Linked DNA regions of Canis lupus familiaris. The protein of the gene in region 1 interacts with the protein of each later gene in a biochemical or structural test. Links are inferred from orthologs where the notes say so. Each region holds a gene or a part of one and is shown on either strand. Other genes may lie near its edges.

Evidence for each region.
Region 2: the proteins of TNFRSF8 (region 1) and TNFSF8 form a complex in vitro, tested with the Homo sapiens proteins (2 studies listed by BioGRID and IntAct). The link is inferred for Canis lupus familiaris from reciprocal best matches to the Homo sapiens genes TNFRSF8 and TNFSF8.

What each region holds. Positions count from the first base shown.
Region 1 is NC_049223.1:83,699,203-83,703,286, reverse strand, and holds the start of TNFRSF8 (tumor necrosis factor receptor superfamily member 8), read left to right. Parts: upstream 1-1,266; 5' UTR 1,267-1,417; intron 1,418-4,084. UniProt on the Homo sapiens protein: Receptor for TNFSF8/CD30L. May play a role in the regulation of cellular growth and transformation of activated lymphoblasts. Regulates gene expression through activation of NF-kappa-B.
Region 2 is NC_049232.1:69,414,047-69,418,157, reverse strand, and holds the start of TNFSF8 (tumor necrosis factor ligand superfamily member 8), read left to right. Parts: upstream 1-1,266; 5' UTR 1,267-1,593; coding exon 1,594-1,788; intron 1,789-4,111.

The sequences.
Region 1 (4,084 bases):
CGTGCTCAGCTCGTGCCCGGCCCCACGGTGCTCGCGCGCTCTTGGGCCGCGGCCTGCAGCGCCCGGTGCTCTGCAGCGCGCGGCGTCCGCGGGTTCCCTGGTGACCGCGCCCTCAGCCACGCCCCGGGAAGCGGGATTCCGAGCCGCGTCCCACGCCCCCGCGACGCGGAGACTGCACAAGGCGGCAGGGCCCCGCGCCCAAAGCCCAGGCGGACGAACGGAGTCGCCAGCGACAGCGGAGCCGCCCTCGCGCCCGTGGCTCCGCCCCGGACCCCGCCTGCCTCCCGGGCCCCGCCTCCTCGGGCACGTGCACCTGCCACGCCGCAGCCCCGGGCGTAACCTGCGCCTCGCACCACGGACCCAACAGGGAAGAGAAGGGCTTGCTCCCGGGAGCGGCGCGGGCCGAGGGAGAGGCAGGCGCTTCGCAGGAGCCCGATGTGGGACGCGATCCGGGGACCCCGGGGTCACGCCCCGAGCCAAGGGTAGGTCGACCTTCAACCGCTGAGCCACCCGGGCGTCCCAAGGCTGAGGTGTTGTGATTGGCTCCTCTGGGTCATGTGTCCATCGCGAAGCATGACGTATTGTGATTGGCCTGCCTGGGTCATGTGCCCATCGTGGAGGATGAGGTATTGTGATTGGCTCCTCTGGGTCATGTGTCCATCAAGGATGATGTATTGTGATTGGCCCGCCTGGGTCACGTGTCCATCGTGAAGGATGACGTATAGTGATTGGCCCGCCTGGGCCACGTGTCCATCAGGGTGATGTATTGTGATTGACCCGCCTGGGTCACGTGTGCATCGTGAAGGCTGACGTATGTGATTGGCCCGCCTGGGTCACGTGTCTATCGTGAAGGATGACGTATGTGATTGGCCCGCCTGGGTCACGTGCCCATCGTGAAGGATGACGTATAGTGATTGGCCCGCCTGGGCCACGTGCCCGCTGGCCTCGGCGTGGGTGGGAAGCGTCTGGGGCTGCGGGGCTGCCGGAGGCCGCTGGCGGCTGGAGGCGCCCGGTCCCCGCGCGGGTCGCCGTGGGTGTGGACCGCGTGCGCCTCCCCTCCCCGCGCCTGGGACTCGCACTGCCGGCCGCTGTGCGTGCGTCGCAGCCCGGCTGCCCTGGCTCCTCGGGCCGAGGGGTCCCTGCTCCGCGCTCCCGGGCCTGTGCGGCTTCCTTCGGCGAGGCCGGCCCGGCGCCGCCACGCGGTGTAGCCCGAGGCCGGGGGCGCCGGGGGCTCAGCCGGGGCCTGGGCCGGGGCCTGGGCCGGGGCGGCGGCCTGGAGCTTCTGTGCTTCCTTCCCCAGGGCTGAGCGCGCGGCTGCCGTGCCCTCGGGGGCCCTCCGACTGCGGGAAGCGCTGCGAGCCCGACTACTACCTGGACCGGGACGGCCGCTGCAAGGCCTGTGTGAGCTGCTCTGGAGGTGAGGGCGGCGCCGGCGGCCTCGGGGGGTGGGGTGGGGGTGGGGGGTTGGGTTTTAGTTTTTTAAAGATTTCACTTATTCATTCACGAGAGACAGAGAGAGGCAGAGACCCAGGCAGAGGGAGACGCAGGCTCCACGCAGGAGCCCGACGCGGGATCCCGGGACCCCGGGGTCCCGCCCTGGGCCAGAGGCAGGCGCTAAACCGCTGCGCCACCCGGGGATCCCCTATGCATCCTTTTTAAAAAGTGTTTATTTGAGGAATCTCCACACCCAGCGTGGGGCTCGAACTCACAACCCTGAGCTCAAGGCTCACATGCTCTGTGGACTGAGCCAGCTAAGTTCCCCGAAGTAACCTAGCTTTTTGCATTCTTGTTTATCCTTTGTCACCTTCCCAAAGGTTGACATCTGAGATGGATGCGTAAAATCCACCTCCCCTGTGCTTGTTTTCCATCAGGTTTTCACTGGGTTCTACTTATTTTTGCTCTCTGATGTCAGAGCTATGTTATTAGGTGTGATGTTCGGGAATACTGTGTTTCCTTGGTGGCTTAGACCTTTCATCAGCATGAAATTATCTCTTTGTTCCTTACAGTGTTTGCCTTAATTCCATTTTTGCTTGATATTTTTTTTTTTTTTTTTTTTTTTTTACTTATGATAGTCACACAGAGAGAGAGAGAGAGAGAGGCAGAGACACAGGCAGAGGGAGAAGCAGGCTCCATGCAGCGGGAGCCCGATGTGGGATTCGATCCCGGGTCTCCAGGATCACGCCCTGGGCCAAAGGCAGGCGCTAAACCGCTGCGCCACCCAGGGATCCCCATTTTTGCTTGATATTAACATTGCCATTCTTCTTCATCCGTATTAGCGTTTCTCTGGTATATCTTTAAGTTTTTAAGACTTATGACTGCTTTGTATTAAATGAGAGTTTCAGACGTTCATTATGAAACATTCAAGCACATCAAGAGATGTGAGGAAGAATGCCACCTCTGCCCCTTCCCCCCTGGTTGGATGTCTGACCGACACTTTTCTGTATCTCTATATAGAGGGGGGAAGAATGGGAAGGGTCGACAGCCATACACACGTGCAGAAAAGAGATTTTAAAAAATATTTTTATTTATTTATTTGGGAGGGAGAGAGTGTGTACACACGAGAGGCGAGGAGGGGCAGAAGGAGAGGGAGAAGCAGAGCCCTGCTGAGTAGGGAGCCTGAGATCATGACCTGTACTGAAGGTAGATGCTTATGCTTCGAGAAAAGGGATTTTTATTTATTTTTATTATTTATTTATTAAAAAAAAAGATTTATGTATTTATTCATAGAGACAATGAGGAGAGAGAGAGAGAGAGAGAGAGAGGCAGAGACGCAGGCAGAGGGAGAAGCAGGCTCCATGCAGGGAGCCTGACGTGGGACTCGATCCCAGGTCTCCAGGATCATACCCTGGGCTGAAGGCGGCGCTAAACCGCTGAGCCACCGGGACTTCCCGAAAAGGGATTTTTAAAGAGGATGGGAACGTACTGTTCATGATGTTCAAGTGATTACATTTGATTTTATTCAAGTGTGTCAGAGGAAGAAGAAACTAAAGTGAAAATAATCACAAGAGAGCAGTTTCTAAAAACAAAACAAAACAAAGAAAACCCTGTAAAATTAAGAGGTTATGAAAATCAAGAAGTAGTTGGAAGTCCTTAAAAGAATAAAACTCTCTTGTGGTAAAATCTCGTTCTGCTTGTTTCAGTTTTTGGATAGGACAGAGTAAATTGGCTTCCTGTAATGAAAAGTTAAGTAATTAGCTTGCTGCCTCCCTGTCCTCTTCCTGACTTTTATTGCTTACTTTTTTTTTTTTTTACTCTGTTATTGCCTGTGGTGTTTATATTTTCTGTAACCCTCAGTCCCTTGGCTGTTAGCTTTGCTTTGCTATTTAAACTTATTCATTGTGCACCCTGAGTACATTGACGACAGTTTCTCTGTTCCTGAAATTTTCATTTTGATTTATCACTTGTTTGGTTAGATTTCACTGACCTGTGGATTTTTCAGGAAGGATTCATCTTTGCACATCCCTCAGGGGATTCTTTCATGTTTGGGAATGTTTCTTGCCTGTATGCTCGAATGACAACTTGGGCAGGTATATGATTATTCCTGAAACCTGTTTTCTCTAGAGCTTTATAGGCATTGGTGCTTTGTCTTCATATGGTGAATATTGCTGTGGAGGAGTCTGCTATCCGCCTTGTTTTTGCCCCTTTGTAGATGACCGCAAGAATAATCTTTATCTTCAGAGCTCAAAATTTACCAGAATATGCCTTGAGATGAATTATTTGGAAAGGATTCTTCCTGGTACCTGGAATGTCTTATTTTGTCTTTTTTAAAAAAGTTTTTATTTATTTAAGTTATCTCTGTGCCCAACATGGGGCTTGAACCCACGACTCTGAGATCAAGAGTCTCATGTTCCACAGACTGAGGCAGCCAGATGCCCCTGGAATGTCTTTTCTATCTGCAGTTTAGTTTTTTTCATTTTAGGGAAACTGACCTGGATTTTTATTTCTACTAAATATATATCTCAATGTCAACTTTACGGGCGCCAATTATCCCTTATGTTTGTGTTTGCCTTTCCTCCCTGTCTTCTTTTTTTTTTTTTTTTAAGATTTTATTTATTTATTTGAGAAAGAGAGAGAGAGAGAGCAC
Region 2 (4,111 bases), on another chromosome or scaffold:
ACGGTGGATGGCAGAACCTGAGTCTCAAGTCAGCCACTTGCAAGTGATTTTAGACCAGAAAGAGAATGAAAACATACATCCTAGAGAGATTCTATTGAGTTCTCAACTTGCCTGCTTTGATGAAGCAAGTTGCCATGTGAGAGAGGCCAGTGTGGTAAGGGACTGAGAGTAGCCCCTCCGGTCAACACCTAGTGAGGAACTGAGATACTCACTCAAACAGCCACAAAGAACTGAAAACTGCCAACAACTACTTAGTGTGCTTGAAAGTGAATCCTTTCCCCGTGCAACCTTCAGAGAAGATGACAGGTCCTGGATTGACACCTTGATTGCAGCTTTGTGAGAGACTATGAAGCAAAGGAGCCGGCTAAGCTGTGCCTGGATTCCTGACCCACAGCAACTGTGAGCTAATAAATGTGTATTTAAAAAAAAAAGGAAAGAAAAGAAGAAAAAAAAAAGCATGAGCCGTCCTCATGCTCTCTGAGCCTCAATATTGCCATGTGTGAAAAGCCAGTGTTAGGTGCATCAGAGGGCAGAGGGGAGGGTGGAGTGAGGCAAGGTGTGAAGCGCACCTGGCACTAGCACTGTGCCTGAGATCGCAGAGCTTCGGCTGCAATAGTCTCTCTCTCTCTCTCTCACACACACACACACACACACCATGCATAAGACACACAACACACGCCACACATCACGTAGGTGCACCACACACGAGCATACCATACGCCCACCATGCACACGCCCACAGAACACACCCCCCACGCTCTGCACCAGGCTGCTTCCCCACCCCCATCACCACCGCCACCGCCAGTCCCTTCCCTTTTCTGCAACTGGGCAGGCGAGCCCAGGTTTATCTGCGGGGCTGACCCCTCCCAATAGGGCCGGCAGGAATTTTTGTTGAAAAGATCAACGTTTCCAGATTCCTACTCTCTTGACATTTGCCCCCACGTCTCCTACTGCGGTGGGCTCGCCCCCTTTGGCCCCATGGCCATGCTTGTGGGCGCTTCCTTCCCAGGCAGCTGGAACGATCTCCAGTTTCCAGCAGGAGCTGATTCTGATCAAACCAAACCCTCTGGAGTCATCACAGCCCAGTGCGAGGGCGCCAGCTTCCCGGAGGCCCAGCACAGAGACATTTTCTGACGAGGTCCTCTGAGCTGCAGGCCTCGCTGAAGAGAAGATGCGGCTTCTCAAGCAGGAAGGCGTTTTGTGGCTGAGTCTAAGTGAAACAGAAGTCGCTTTGTGCACTCTCTCTCTCTCTCACTCACTACACACACACACACACACACACACACACCCCAGAGTAGGGAAACCGTCATTTTCCTTCTCGCCCTCTGACATCAACCACCTTCTCTGTAGCTACAGTTTCTCTGCCCTCAAATTCATCCCTGGCAATGAAAAATGAGCCTCTCCCCCACCCTTGCTGCTGTCTTTCGCCTCACGCCCCCAGAGAAGAGTTTCTTCGTGTGGCAGCTGGTGAAGGTTTTTTTCCACGTCACATGATCCAGGATGCAGGGGGAGAATCCTTCTTGGAACAGAGATGGGCTCAGAACTGAATCAGATGAGGAGAGATAAGGTGTGCTGTGGGAAGACTATATAAGAATGGACCCAGGGCTGCAGCAAGCACTCAACCGAATGGCCCCTTCTCAAGACACAGCCATGCATGTGCCAGCAGGCTCTGTCGCCAGCCACTTGGGAACCACAAGCCGTGGTTATTTCTACTTCACCACCACGGCGCTGGCTCTGTGTCTCATCTTTGCTGTGGCAACCATCATGATGTTGGTAGTTCAGAAGACGGTAAGTGGACTTCTGGTCACCTTTTTTCTGATTTGCGTTCAGTGTTCCCCAGAGAGAAAGGCTTGAGAAAAAAACAAAAAGTAGCTGAGAAGAAGAAAAAGAAGAAGAAGAAGAAAGAAAAAACCAACATCTGGTACATATATCATGTAGAAAGAGGGAGAAAAGAAACAGGAACTCAACTCTCTGAAATAATTTGGCTTTTAAGAGAAAATATGTTCAGCAGTCACCTCAAAAGTTTGCAGACTCACATGGGCCAGAAGAAGAGACAGGAGCTATTAGTATTAAGAAATTAAGATTTAAATTTTTTGCTGGGCCAGAGATGTGTATCTGAGAAGGAAGTGATAAGGAAATCTGATAACAGATTCACACGACTTGTTACCATGTCTTCTTCAAGGTTCTCTATTCTCAGTTCAAACAGTGTTGAGTTCTCCGGGGCCTCCTCTGTTGCCAAGAGCTTTCTCAACAAGGAGCTAGGTTTCAGTGACCCAGGTGTATACGAGAAGGAGCAAGACAGGAGACCAGGCTTAGGTCCTTAGAGCTAATTAAAGCCTACAAGGCAAGTGGAGGCTTCCTCCTGAGCCACTGCTTGGAAGAGTTTAGGATGTCACGAGAAACCCAGAGCACGAGGGCAGAACATAGAAATATTTGTAATGCCTGTTGCCTCTGAGACTGCTCAGAATACTAAAGCTACAAGCAACTATGGGTACCCACTGTAGAGGCAAACATCTCAGGAAATTGGCTTTGTTTGGAGGAAATGGTAAGATTTGTTGCAAAAACAGAAGAGACAAAGGAGGACACTTCTTCATATTTTAGGAAATTGGTGTTTACAGAGAATCTGGCCAGTGTGCATTTTGTAGAAAATACCATATTGGTGGTATATTTCGCTCATGCGTTTTTTGAATGAAGAGAAGTTTTTGTTATTTTGGTAATTTGAGAACTTGATCCCCCTCGTGCCCTGCCCTGCCAAGGTGAGAATGTTTCTACTTATTCTTTCAGAGCTCCCGTTTTTCTTACAATCCTGCAAGATTTCCGTTTCCCTGCAGTTGTCTTAGGTTGAATGTTCTATACCTCATGGATTGGTGAATGGAACTAGGCTTTAAGAGATTTGGGTATCTGTTTCTCAAGGGTCACCAGCTTTGAAGTTTAAATGAAGCTTTGAGGCTCATACCTCCATAAAAGTGAAAGAAAACAGAGTTACTAACATTTGATTTAGATCGTAAGGTTTATAAAATGCATCCTTGAATGAGTTCATCCATGTATACTAAGAATAATACTTTTGGAAATATTCTAGGGCATTTTTTTTTTTTGGTAGAGGCTAGATCATTTCTGTAATTCTAATTTGAAGTAAACCAGAAGTATATCATTTTATAGCAATGGCCAAAGAAAAGAAACTGAAGTGGTCTTTAAGAAGTTTCTTTAGTTAAATGTTGCATCTAGAACTACTAGGAAAGAGAAGGAAGGAAGGAAAGGGAAAGAAAATGAAAGGAAAGAAGAAGGGAAGGAAGGTATTGGGGGTGATGGTGAACTCTAAAGCTGGAGAGAGCTCTAGAAGTGTCCTTATGCAATTCCATTCTTTCCAGAAAGGAACTAGAGTGGATCTTTCTGGCCCATTTTTGTATGTGTGGAAAAGCAGGAACAGAAAGGAGAAGGGGCTTGAACTAAGTCATCCTGAGAAAGTGATAGAGTCAAGACTGTGCTCGATTGTTTAATGAGAACAACACTCCCTTTACCTATCAGCCAGCCACAGAAACACTTAGAAATTTTGTTCCTGCTCCTCTTTCGGGAGCTTTATCTTCTTGCGCATCCATTTCCTTGACTCACTTCTCATATGAGGATATGAAAAGATTCACTTCACAATCTGATTATATGGTTTGGTGGGCTGTGGTTTCTTTAGTCTGGGAGATATCAGTTACTTGCTTAAAAGCTAAGGCTTGTCATACTAATTGTGATATTAAATGTGCAGTGTTTTATACTGCACAATAAACTATCATTTCCAATAAATTATTCAGACATTAACTGTCCTAAGAGCTAAGAAGAGTTATCCCCTTGGGTTATCAAGGAAGGCTTTCTGCAGGAAGAGGGAATGCAGGCTGACATTAGGAATTTAGATAAAAGGAAAGACTCTAATAACAGGACCCCTGGTAAAGAAATCAATGGGATAGGCCTGAGAAACTTAAACTCACATCCCAACTATCAAAAAATGGAATGGGTCGGCGGCTACATAGCACTCTGTGTGAGGTTGGAAGGGGGCAGGGATAGAGTACCATGAGAATGGTTTTACAGCCTAAGAAGTCACAGTTCTAGGTAAGAAGCACATGAACAG